Linked DNA regions of Oryzias latipes. The main gene of each other region encodes a partner of the protein of the gene in region 3 in a complex. Links are inferred from orthologs where the notes say so. Each region holds a gene or a part of one and is shown on either strand. Other genes may lie near its edges. The genes, in order: fam96a, ciao1 and mms19.

Region 1 (3,648 bases), on a different chromosome or scaffold from region 3:
CCTGAAAGTTACTGGCCCGACACCGCGCATAGCGGGACCCGCCGCTTCGCAGGTGCTTGCAACTTTAGGGGGGTCCGGGGGCATGCCCCCCCGGAAACTTTTAATATGGTGCAATTTGGTGCATTCTGGTGACATCACTTATTTCTACACTTTTCAATGACTGAAAATAGACCATATCAAACTTAAATCTGCTCTAGTCTGTTTCAGATGTTTTGAAGAGAGCACTGCAGTGTAGTAGGTAACACTAGTTCAGAAGTTTTCATGGTGCTTTTAACGGCAAATATCGCAATAAATCATAAACCTTAAATTTGTTAAAACAATCTAATGGCAGCTTGAACCATTTAACGAATCAAATAAATCCCTTAATGCATTTGACCAATCGGATGGACGCCTTCACATTGTTGACCAATCAGATGGAGCCCTGTTATGTTAGATGTTTGTAACCTATGTCAACGTGGGTCATTTGGAGTATAATTTTTAAACTGGGAATGGTTATTTGGTTATTTTGCTGTTTGTTTATATACCGCAAATTATATCGTTATCGCAATTTTAATCTCTGATATCGCATATCGCGAGTTTTCCTCATATTGTGCAGGTCTAACTGAGATCATTCAGCGAACTAGAAATACTTACTGCTTACAGTGTTGTAAAGAAAAACAAAATTAAGTAGTTTAACATTCTACTGCATTTGAGTCTGAGATTCAGGTATTTGGAGTTGCCTTTGATTCTTTGACATTCAGCTTAAAGCTTAGTGGATACAGTTTCATCTTCAATGCATTCATTAAATATCTTGCTGTCCATACTACTAATTATACCCACTACTCCATCCAACATATTCCTATCTATTCCTGCCATGTCTTCCACATCTCTGACATGCTTCAGTGTCTCTTCAGTGACGGTGTCGGATTTATAATCAAATGTAATAATAACCCACTGGCTTGTTCCTTCGTTGTTGCTGTTTAACATTGTTTTGTATTGAATTGTTACATTCAATAAAGTTTGAAAAAAAAAAGTAGTGAGCGCGTGCCGCGTGGTGCTCGGCAGTGAAAGCCGCGCGCGCGCAGGCGGGAGAGAAGGAGAAGTGATCAAAGGTTTCCCATAGAAACCCTTGAAGTCTGAACACAGGACTAGCAGAAAAACTAAATTATGAAGACGAGTTAAATCTACACCTTTTCGCAAAATTTACTTTATTGAAAAAGGTGAAGAATATATAAACCGTTAGATATTTTAGTGGCCCGAGCGGACAAGTGAAAAGTAAAGTCTTGTGGTCCGCACTGCTCGAAAAACAGGACCGGGCCAGCGGACAAATGGCTATGTCGAGCCCTGTAATGTCAAAGTACTTAATTTTGTTTTTCTTTACAACACTGTTAGCAGTAAGTATTTCTAGTCTAAAGCTAAATGATCTCAGTAATTTAATTTTTCAATTATTTAATTCAATTTAATTAAGTAACTAAAGTAACTAAAAAGTAATTGTAACTTTGCAACTTTAAACAAGTAACTCTGCAAATTTGAACAACATAACGGTAATTAAGGATCTAAAAAGTAAAAAACTAAATAAAACTTCTTAACTATTGATTACGAACAAATGTGAAATAGCAGTGATTAGAAGCAGCATGAAAACTTCTTAACTAGTGTTGCCTACTACACTGAAGTGCTCTCTTCAAAAAATCTGAAACAGACTAGAGCAGATATAAGTATGATATGGTCTATTTTCAGTAATTGAAAAGTGTATAAATAAGTAATAGATGTCACCAGAATGCATCAAATTGCACCATATTAAAATTTTCCGGGGGGGAATGCCCTAAAGTTAAGGCGTCCGTCGCTTTGGGTGCCGCCTGCGGCGGCGGGTCGCGCTGTGTGCGGTGTCGGGCCAGTAACTTTCTGGCAGGGCCAGTAAATTTCAAAAACCACTGGCCCAAATTTCTGAGCTATGTCAACCCCAGCCTTCTCCTTGAAAGCGACTTCAGTCCGATCTGATCCTCAAAGGCGCTTTTTCCTGCCGTTCAACAGATGTGATCCGATCGATCCGGGACCCAGAGAAACCCAACACGCTGGAGGAACTGGAGGTGGTGACGGAGAAATGTGTGGAGGTCCAGGATCTGGGAGAGGACGAGTACCTGATCATCATCAAGTTTTCCCCCACCGTCCCTCACTGCTCCCTTGCTACTCTCATTGGTGAGTAACTGATGGAGACACGAGGACAGGACCCAGAGCCACAAGAACAGAGGACCTGACCAGGAGCTGAACCGGAGTTATTAAATCTTTAGAAAGAAAAACATGACCTGTTGGTAATGAATATCCTATTTCCTGTTCTGTGAAAAAACTAACTCATCTGAAATGTTTAGCAATAGCAAAAAACTTTAACAGGTCTGCTTTTCTTGGTCAGGTGTTCTTTCCATTGCTGAGTAAAGTTTAACTTAATGTGTGTTCAGAGAATAAGTCATGTTTTTTGCAGTTTGGCCAGGGGTGCGACTTATACTGTGGAGTGACTTATTTTCTGATTAAAAAAAAAACTAATATATTTGTCATTTTCCCACTAAGAACAACTAGAGGGCTCAGTAAAGGGGTTTATTGGTAATTCCTACTGACAGCAACACAGAAGAAGCTCTGCTCAGTCCAGTCATCCATTCAGGCTTTCTTCAGTGGCTGTCGTGGTGCAAAGTTAGAGCGGTCGACCTCTGATTGGAAGATTGGATTGCTGGCACAACACTGAACTCCCCATTGCTCCTGGTGGTTATAGGTAGTGCCATCAGTATATGAATGGGACTGTGACTGTAAATCACTATGGACCTTCTAAGAAGGTACTAAAGCGCTATACAAGTATACACCATTTACCTTTTTTTCTTGACTATTAAACATACTACATAGCATATAATACATAGGTGTAAGGCCCTGAATCCCGGAAAAGACATTTAGATTAGGTTTGGTCGTTGTAGCTACAAAGTCATTCTGCTTCTAAATGGACGTGGGTCAGGGTGTTGGGTCTGCCGCCGTGAACAGGCTGGTTCTGGTCAGTGATTGTGATCACTGGAGCCAAGCAGCTGCAGTTGTAAACAGCCTGTACCACAAACAGATAAGGACTATGCTCAGGAATGCAGACTCACAGCAGGGGTGATTCATTAGAAATCATTGTATATAATCAGAGCGGTCCTAATGAGCACAAAAATACATTGTTGGATTGAACTAATAACACTTTCAAAAAGTTCCAGCTGCTATACTGAACATACATGTTTGTCACACATTTTTATTGTAAGGAAAACCATATTCTTAACTAATTATAAGATCATTATAAAAATGATATTATTTAGCATGTCAAATCATCGTGTGAGGCTGAAAGCTCTGTTGGAAAAGACACTTTCGAGGCTTCAGTTAGTTTCTATAACATACATTTAATATTGGGTTTTTGTTGATCTGTTGTTATGGTTAATCCCTAAATCTGAGCTTCCCTGATGATGACATTCTCGTGTCTGTGTGACAAATTCAGACTTGTCCTAGTTAGAACAGGTCAATTTTTTTTCTTATGTTTCCAGCTTAAACTCTGCCTATACAGCTTCGGCTAAGTTGGGCCTCTTTCTTGGAATAAGCTCCAGTGTCGGTTGTCTTCTGAACCTTGCTATGTTTGCAGGTTTGTGCCTACAAGTGAAGCTG
Region 2 (4,382 bases), on a different chromosome or scaffold from region 3:
TGCTCTTCCTCCTCGGTGGGATAATGGCGCAGGAGGTTTGCAGCAGTGGCTAGAATGGAGGCTCCACCAGCACCTGCCACCAGGTAGAAGCTGATGGCAAAGGTGACGTAAATGAGAGAGCCATGGTACTTTTTGTGTTGCTGCTGCAGTGACAAGATCAGTTCCGATGCCCAGTAGCAAAAGCCTATGACTGTGGCACACTGCAACACTGGAAAGACAAAGAAACCAGTTACATTGTAGCAATGTGTTTGATCTTTATTAGAAATGAAAACAAGCACTGTAGATACCTGTTAGTATATGTGCAAAAGCATATCTGCGAGTTATCTTTAGGGCAGGGTGTTTGGGTCCAAACACATCCAGGAGGAACGCAGTTAGACTGCACAGGATGCCAAGGAAACAGAAGGCAGCTATTACCCTTAGCAGCAGGATGGTCTGCGGATTCACACAGTAATCTGAAAAGACAGACGTGCCACAAATTCATATAAATTAAGGCACTCCATGATCCTCAGCTTAGAGTGGCAACGACTTTGTGCTGGTTCTTACCACCCAAAAGATTGGGATCAACGTATCCCAAGACATCTGCCACCCCGAGTTCTTGTCTCGGGCAGGTGCCTCCGTGAATCCGGAGCCAAGCAGGTTCAGCCAGAGCCGTGCACAGCGCTGTGATGGACAAAGCTCCGGGCAGGGCCGACACTAGACTCCGCTCCGGCTGTTTGGGAAGTGAGGTACCGGCTCTCCTCCTCCGACCTCCGGAGACAGCGGGACCCGGTGGGGCATACATAGCTGACCGAATGGCGAATTTTCTGTTGAAGTGGTAGGTTCCTCTTAGCACTGTCTTCCTCTTGACAGTAGTACCGGGTTATTGTGGTATTAGAGTAAAACTACGGCAATTGTCTTCCAGGATATGTCAAAGATTTCGGTGGCGATAAAAGTGCTCAACAATATAAAAACAACAATAACCGCTTCCCTAAAGTAGTCAAAAAATATTAAGGAAAAGCCAACACAAAGAACAGATCCTAAGCGGGCCTTTAGCTCTGTTGTTAGCCTCTGAAGCTAACTAAAAAAAATAAACACTTTACGTCACCAGTTCTCGGAGGAAAGACACTTTTTAGCGAACGAATGGGAAAAAATATAACCTGTAAACATCAAATCCCGCTGATAAAACCGTCCGTCTCTATGATACAAAAAGGAACACAAAACAAAACAAAAGATAGCTTACGCTGTTTTCCTCAAAATCCCTAACTTCCTGTATATGCCATTCTTCTTCGTGACGTTTAGAATGTTTGCTGTACACTACCGCCCCCAGCGGAAACTAAAATAGAAATGTACACAATGTTTAGCATGAAATTTTCTTTGCAAACAGTAATGTAAATATAGATTCATATTATAAAAATACATATATAGGTAGATCACTTTCTTTAAAAATATATAAATGAAATATTACCATCAAAACGTTTTATTTTAGATCAACCCATAATGCACCGGGTCCAGATCCCGATAAGCAAACATGGCGGCATTTCCTAATTTGACGCTTCTTTGAACTTATCTGTGTGAACAATTTTCCTTGGTTAATTTCCCCCTCCTTTTGTTTTAATGTTCATAAAGGTGTATTAATTTACTCGCAGTCCTCTTGTCTGTCGTTTTCCTCATTTGTGACTCTTTTTAGCCTAAATCTTTGGTTAACGGAAATCGAGAAAAGTGTCGAGTCGACGCCTGACAGACAGAGGAGTCACGTTTGCTGGAGCTCTGCCATGAAGGAGGCTATTTCTCTGGTGCAGAAACTCAGCGCACACCCAGATTCTCGGTGCTGGTTCGTCAGTTGGAGCCCGAGCGGTGCGCTGCTGGCTTCGTGTGGTGGCGATAAGGCCATCCGGATATGGGGACAGGAAGGTCAGACTCAGACAGACAAAGAGCCTTCTATTCGAATTTTGCTACGCCGATTTAAAATCAGTGGTTGGATGACCTTACCTTTTTTACAGTTCATGTTTTCCCTTTTCAAGGTGACTCTTGGGTTTGTAAAAACGTTCTGCAGGACGGACACCAGCGCACTGTGAGGAAAGTAGCCTGGTCTCCCTGTGGGAACTATCTGGCCTCCGCCAGCTTCGATGCGACGACATGCATCTGGAAAAAGAAGAACGACGACTTTGAGGTAAGGTTCGTTTAACCTCTGATCTAACACGTGTTCTGGCTCCACCTGGACTCTTTTCTTGTCTTCTAGAGCTTAACTGTGTTGGAAGGTCATGAAAACGAGGTCAAATGCGTGGCGTGGGCCCCTTCAGGGACTTTGCTGGCCACTTGTAGCCGAGACAAGAGTGTCTGGGTTTGGGAAGGTTTGTGTCCTCACCAGCTCTTGCAGGACAATCCTTTGTCACAGAAAACATATAGAGCTGGGTTGTAAACCTTTGTTTTCCTTCTTCACAGTGGACGAAGAAGATGAGTACGAGTGTGTTACAGTGGTGAACTCGCACACACAAGATGTAAAGCATGTTGTGTGGCATCCCACGCAAGAGGTAGGTCTGCACTCAGTCCTTCACCATCATGTAGTTGTTTTATTATTGTTGCTATTAATTGTTAAAGTGCATCTTTAGCCATATTTATGATCTACGTGCTGTTTTTAATAGAGCCATGGTAACGACGTTTGTGGGATCAATAAAGTTGTATTTTATTCTATTTCCGCAGCTCTTGGCTTCTGCCAGCTACGACAACAACATCTGTATTTACAAGGAGGAGGATGATGACTGGGAGTGCAGGGCCACTCTGCAGGGACACACGTCCACCGTCTGGAGTTTGTGTTTCGACGTGACGGGACAGAGGCTGGCGTCTTGCAGCGATGACCGCACTGTGAAGATTTGGAAGGAGTATCCAAGTGAGAGTGGTGAGAAGATAGAGGGGTAGTTTATGACATAAATAAAAAAAAATAGGATATTTTTTAATCACAGAATGTTTTGTTTGGTCTGCTTTATTAGGTGATTTGTCATGGAAGTGCGTTTGCACTCTGTCGGGTTATCATGGACGAACAGTGTACGACATTGCCTGGTAAGACTAAATACTTACACTACAGCAGGGGTGTCAAACACACGGCCCGCGGGCCTTATCCGGCCCGCCAGGTGGTTTACTCCGGCCCACACATGAAGAGTAAAAATCAAAAGGATGATTAAAAAAGAAAGCAAGTTTCTAGTCCATTCCTGTGGCGAATTATGATTTTTTAAAGAAATAACAGAAATGTGCAATTCCGCCACTAGGGGGAGTAAAGGAAAAGAAAAACAGTTGAAACAGCAAATATCTGCATGTGCCAAAAGCGAAACATAACAGCTCTGCGTCTGGGTAGGATGCACCTTGGTTCCCTATGAGCCTTACCGCTGTTATCTTGCTATAAGGATGATCATTAGCGACACCCTAATGACCAAAATGCTGTCAAACGTGAAGTGGAGGGAAGAGCCTTCCAGGAAAATTGGACAGAGTTTTTTCTTTTTTTCACGAAGCTGAATGTAAAACCCAAATGCTTTGTATGTCATCAACATCGCAGTGCTCAAAGAATATGACATTCAGCACCACTAAGAGACTTATCATAAAGAAAAGTTTCTGGATTGCTTCAGTGTCAGATGTAAAATATTCAGACTGCATTAATTTGAATAGACCAACTTTTCTTTAATTGAAATTAATTTTATTTGAGCTCCATTGGCCCCAAGTGATTAGGCTACTATGTTGATTGAGACATTTTTTCCAACTGAATAAAAAACTAAAACAAAGCTGTTATTTTGCTTTTATGTTACTGGTCCGGCCCACTTGAGATCAGACGGGTTAAATGTGGCCCCCGAACCAAAATGAGTTGGACACCCCTGCACTACAGTCTGGTGTCTGATTTTTTTTTTTTTACTTTAAAAATAGATTCTATTTACAGAGTTTTTAAAAAGTTGCCAAAACAGATTTTCTTCTTTGCTTTTTTGGCTGTACCACCACTAAAACAGCGCTTGTCATCAGTCGGCTGAATCTTTGTCCCCTTTACTATTATGGCTCAAACAACTGTCTGTTGCGTAGGTGTCGACTGACCGGTGCCCTAGCAACTGCCTGTGGCGACGACGCCATACGAGTGTTTAGGGAGGATCTCGCGGCCCATGCAGATGAGCCGGTGTTCTCGCTGGCTGCTCAGGTGAAGAAGGCTCACTGTCAGGATGTGAACTGCGTCGCCTGGAACCCAAAGGAGGCCGGCCTCCTGGCCTCCTGCAGTGATGATGGAGACATTGCAATTTGGAGGTTTCAAGAAGAAGACTGAACCTGCTGTGGAGACACCAGCAATTGGATGAAACCCTGTGCTGAACTTAAATGTTCTTTTCTTTTGCTATATAAAGTCATGCTTATACAGTTATCTTTATAAATCTGAA
Region 3 (3,648 bases):
ACCTGATCTAGAGGATCTAGCTGACATTTGTGAGACCGTGCTCTAGTGGTCACTTGGTGAACTGCGGGTCGCTCCAAACCAGTTTAGGCTTGTTTGATAAACTGAATTAATGATTTGATTATTTAAATTCTTTCTAATTTCTCCAATTGTCAATAACGTTTGTTTATAGTATCCATACAAATATCTGACACTCTATGCGTTTGGCGGTCTCTCACGTCCTCTCAATCCTCCATTCAGAGCTGAAGAGTTTGGGAGCCGACTTTGTCTTTGGTTTCGTCCAATCAATGGACGGCGAGAGAGACCCTCGCAACTTGCTGCTGGCCTTCAGGATCGCCAGAAACCTCATCGTCCAAGGATACGATCTGGGTGAGAAGACCTTCCTCCCCCCCCGTCTGTTGGTGATGTCACGGTTTCCTTCTCTCAACCTTCCTGTCTGCTGTCTCAGGTAAATTCGCAGAGGAGCTCTTTGAAGTGACTTCCTGCTATTTCCCCATCGACTTCACCCCGGTAAGTTCCTGTTGACGACGTCTGCAGACCGCCAGAGAAAACTGTTGCTCCTCCCCCCAAAAAACAAGTGTGATCTGGGCATTCGTGCTCCTCATTGGGGTCTCCATCCTCTCCTCTCTGGAGAAAAATCAGCTAAAGTAAAATATGTCGCTCTATTATCTTCAGGATCTGCTACATGTCCCTCTCTCTCCCTGTCTGTCCCTGCCACCCGAGAGCTGCACAAATTCATTAAAAAAACACGCTTTTGTCATAACGGTGCCTTTTATGTACGTTTGTCTCCATAGCAACCATTTCAATTTTTGGTCGTTTGAGGCCGACGGACAGATCAATGTCATTTTTAGAGGAATACATTTTTGGATTTCCTTAGCAACTGAGGTTTTTTGTCAACCCCGCCCACATTCCTAATATGTTCATATCTACAATGTCCTGGTAAAAAATGTGCGAGCAAAAGTTTAAGTCGCACTGCCCCCATCTGAAAATCGCCCAATTTTACACTTTGCCACCTTTTGCCATCCCATAATAATTTCAAAACTTACTTTAAATATCCCTGACATGTGTGTTTTGGTTTTGCCGGGTTTTTTTTGAGCCCCCGGAGATTGTGGGAGTGTCAGCAGCAGTGTCTGCAGCAGCGTCTGCAGGAGCGTCTGCAGCTGTGTCGGCAGCATCTGCAGCAGCGTCTGCAGCATCTGCAGCAGCGTCTGTGCAGATCTCTGACATGGTTCTCCAGGGTTCTGACATCTGAACTCTTTAGATCAGGACGCGATTCCAGGATAACTTTTCATCTAACCTGTCCTCCTATTCTTTTTCCAAAACCCCCTCCTGGTCCACTGCAGCCCCCCAACGACCCCCACGGCATCACCAAAGAGGAGCTGGTTCAGGCTCTGAGGGCCGTCCTCACCGGAACGCCAAAGTTTGCCGAGGTAACGACGGCGGGTCTGCTTCTTCTGACTCGATCCCCTGAGCAAACATTCTCCGGCAAACGTTTCTGTTCGGCTTCCCACAGTTTCTGTTCCCCCTCCTCATCGAGAAACTGGACTCAGAGGTTCAGAGCGCCAAGCTGGACGCGCTGCAGACTCTGGTGAGGAGACACGCCGTGACGCTGAAACAAGACACCAGTTTTCCTCCAGTCTCGTAAAGCAGCACAGTGCATAAACCCGTGCTTTTACTCTGAAAGGGTAAAGGGCGGGAAACCTTTTTCTGCAGAAAACGGACGTCTGAAGTGAATTTTTATTTCTTAATTTTATTTCACCTTTATTTACCGAAGAAATGTCCCATTGAGATCAAGAATCTCTTTTTCAAGGGAGTCCTGGCTAGAAGGAAACAATAAATTATATCTACAATAAAATGTAAACAATTAAAACAAAATAAATAAACACAAAAGCTGATTCAGCTCAGACATGCTGATGTTTAGATCTGCTGTCGCTGCAGTCGTTTGTTTTTTAGTTTTGGACAAAAGAGGAGATGGAAGAGTTCTGTGACGAAATAAAACACATTCTATTAGAAATCCTTTTCTAAACTATCTGTTATTTTGGGTCTTGGCTTAAAGAACCTGATCTTCCGGTGAACTCTCAGACGTTGCTTTCTTTCCGCAGAACGCATGTTTGTCGCGCTTCGAGCACAAGGACACGGCTGAGTTCCTTCAGGGCCTGTGGTCGTCGCTGCGTCGAGAGGTCGCCACGCTCACGGATTCAAACGTTTCCTTCCAAATTCAAAGCTTTTCGTGACGTGGCGTTGCTGCGACGCCTCCTGGCTGCCGCTCAGACCTCGCTCTTCTCTGCAGGTCTTTCAGACGTCCAGCGAGAAGATCGAGTCTGCAGCCCTCGCCGCCCTCGCCGCCCTCACTTCCTGCCTGTCTCGCTCGGTGCTCAGCTCCGAGTCGGAGGACGTCCTCGGACGCTTCCTGGAGGTCGTTCTGAGAGGTGAGCGGCGGTGAGATCGGCCCTCTGAGTTCAGGTGGATGCTAAGGGGAGTCGTGGTGGATGCTCCTGGTTTTTTTTAATAAAGCCAGGCAGGAAAAAAACTAAATTAAACAAGATAAACAGTATAGGGATATAAGGATATTTTTAAATGTAATAAGGAGAAAAACATGTCATGTAATTAGCAGGTGTTACAGAAATTCTCTTAAGGCTTTTATCGTAAAGCTAATGGTAAAAAATACATTCAGGTTGAGCAAAAACTACAAACAACTTATTATGTTTTTAAATTAAAACATTAATCGTGTAAAAATACTTCTGCAGACACAAACCTTTGCTCTCAAACACAAAGGCTTCTGTAACCATGGTAACAGTGTGTGTGTGTGTGTGGGGGGGGGGGGGGTGTGAGGGTGTGTGTGCGTGTGTGTGTGTGGGGGGGGGGGGAAACCTGTTTGAACACAGGCTGCTGAGAAACACATGTTGACTTTCAGTATAACAAATCTAAAAGCACAGAGCTGAACCGGTTCTCTAAACAAACCAGAAGGGGTCCAAAAAGACCCGCTCGGTTCTGTTTCCTCCGGATGAAACCGAATGTTGAGCTCAGAGAAACGGCTGAATGTTCAACACAACGGTTTGTCCTTTGGAACGAACCAACAGAATAGATGTGATCTAAAACTGTTTCTACAGCAGAAAAAGGTTTTTCCAAAGTTAATGCAGAAATTGAATTTACCTGAGTTCTTTATTTATAAAAATGACGTCAAACTGTGCTGACGTCTTGTGGCGAGGCCTCATTCCGGCGCCGTGGGCCTCGCCTGCGGAACTTCCTGAACTTTCTAACATTTTTTGTTTTAGCTTTGATTTGAAGTAAATTTGACACTTTCTAAAGTTTCTGTTAACTTTTAGATTTCTGGTTGATTTCATGGACCGTCTCTTTTTTGTTTGTTAGATCTGCGTTTGTGGCGGACTATTTAGTTATTTATTTGAGGTGTTGTCAGACCTTTATAAATAAAGTTTTATTTGAACTTTTTTTGTTCGATTCTTTTATGACTAAAGTTTAATTTCTGCCTCCAGACTGTGAGCATCACCTCCGTGAGCCGGACCTGAAGCTGGTGTGGCCCGCCGCCAAGCTGCTCCAGGCCTGCTGCGGCGCCTCCTACAGGGCGAGCCGCGTCATAACGGCCGCCGTCCTGCCCTCCCTGACGGAGCAGTACAACGGCAAAACGCAGGT

The links.
Region 1: mms19 (region 3) and fam96a share a complex: the UniProt entries of both Homo sapiens proteins name them as parts of the CIA complex. The link is inferred for Oryzias latipes from reciprocal best matches to the Homo sapiens genes MMS19 and CIAO2A.
Region 2: mms19 (region 3) and ciao1 share a complex: the UniProt entries of both Homo sapiens proteins name them as parts of the MMXD complex. The link is inferred for Oryzias latipes from reciprocal best matches to the Homo sapiens genes MMS19 and CIAO1.

Annotation. Positions count from the first base shown.
Region 1 is NC_019864.2:1,194,655-1,198,302, forward strand, and holds part of fam96a (MIP18 family protein FAM96A), read left to right. Parts: intron 1-2,010; coding exon 2,011-2,175; intron 2,176-3,625; coding exon 3,626-3,648. UniProt on the Homo sapiens protein: Component of the cytosolic iron-sulfur protein assembly (CIA) complex, a multiprotein complex that mediates the incorporation of iron-sulfur cluster into extramitochondrial Fe/S proteins.
Region 2 is NC_019867.2:18,361,258-18,365,639, forward strand, and holds the start of ciao1 (probable cytosolic iron-sulfur protein assembly protein CIAO1), read left to right. Parts: upstream 1-1,475; 5' UTR 1,476-1,751; coding exon 1,752-1,890; intron 1,891-2,000; coding exon 2,001-2,149; intron 2,150-2,218; coding exon 2,219-2,330; intron 2,331-2,421; coding exon 2,422-2,510; intron 2,511-2,679; coding exon 2,680-2,875; intron 2,876-2,966; coding exon 2,967-3,036; intron 3,037-4,038; coding exon 4,039-4,273; 3' UTR 4,274-4,382. Other genes in the region: tmem127 (transmembrane protein 127), read right to left, coding at 1-208, 288-452, 544-781. UniProt on the Homo sapiens protein: Key component of the cytosolic iron-sulfur protein assembly (CIA) complex, a multiprotein complex that mediates the incorporation of iron-sulfur cluster into extramitochondrial Fe/S proteins.
Region 3 is NC_019877.2:1,645,603-1,649,250, reverse strand, and holds part of mms19 (MMS19 nucleotide excision repair protein homolog), read left to right. Parts: intron 1-237; coding exon 238-366; intron 367-445; coding exon 446-507; intron 508-1,340; coding exon 1,341-1,427; intron 1,428-1,510; coding exon 1,511-1,585; intron 1,586-2,099; coding exon 2,100-2,177; intron 2,178-2,287; coding exon 2,288-2,426; intron 2,427-3,491; coding exon 3,492-3,646; intron 3,647-3,648. UniProt on the Homo sapiens protein: Key component of the cytosolic iron-sulfur protein assembly (CIA) complex, a multiprotein complex that mediates the incorporation of iron-sulfur cluster into apoproteins specifically involved in DNA metabolism and genomic integrity.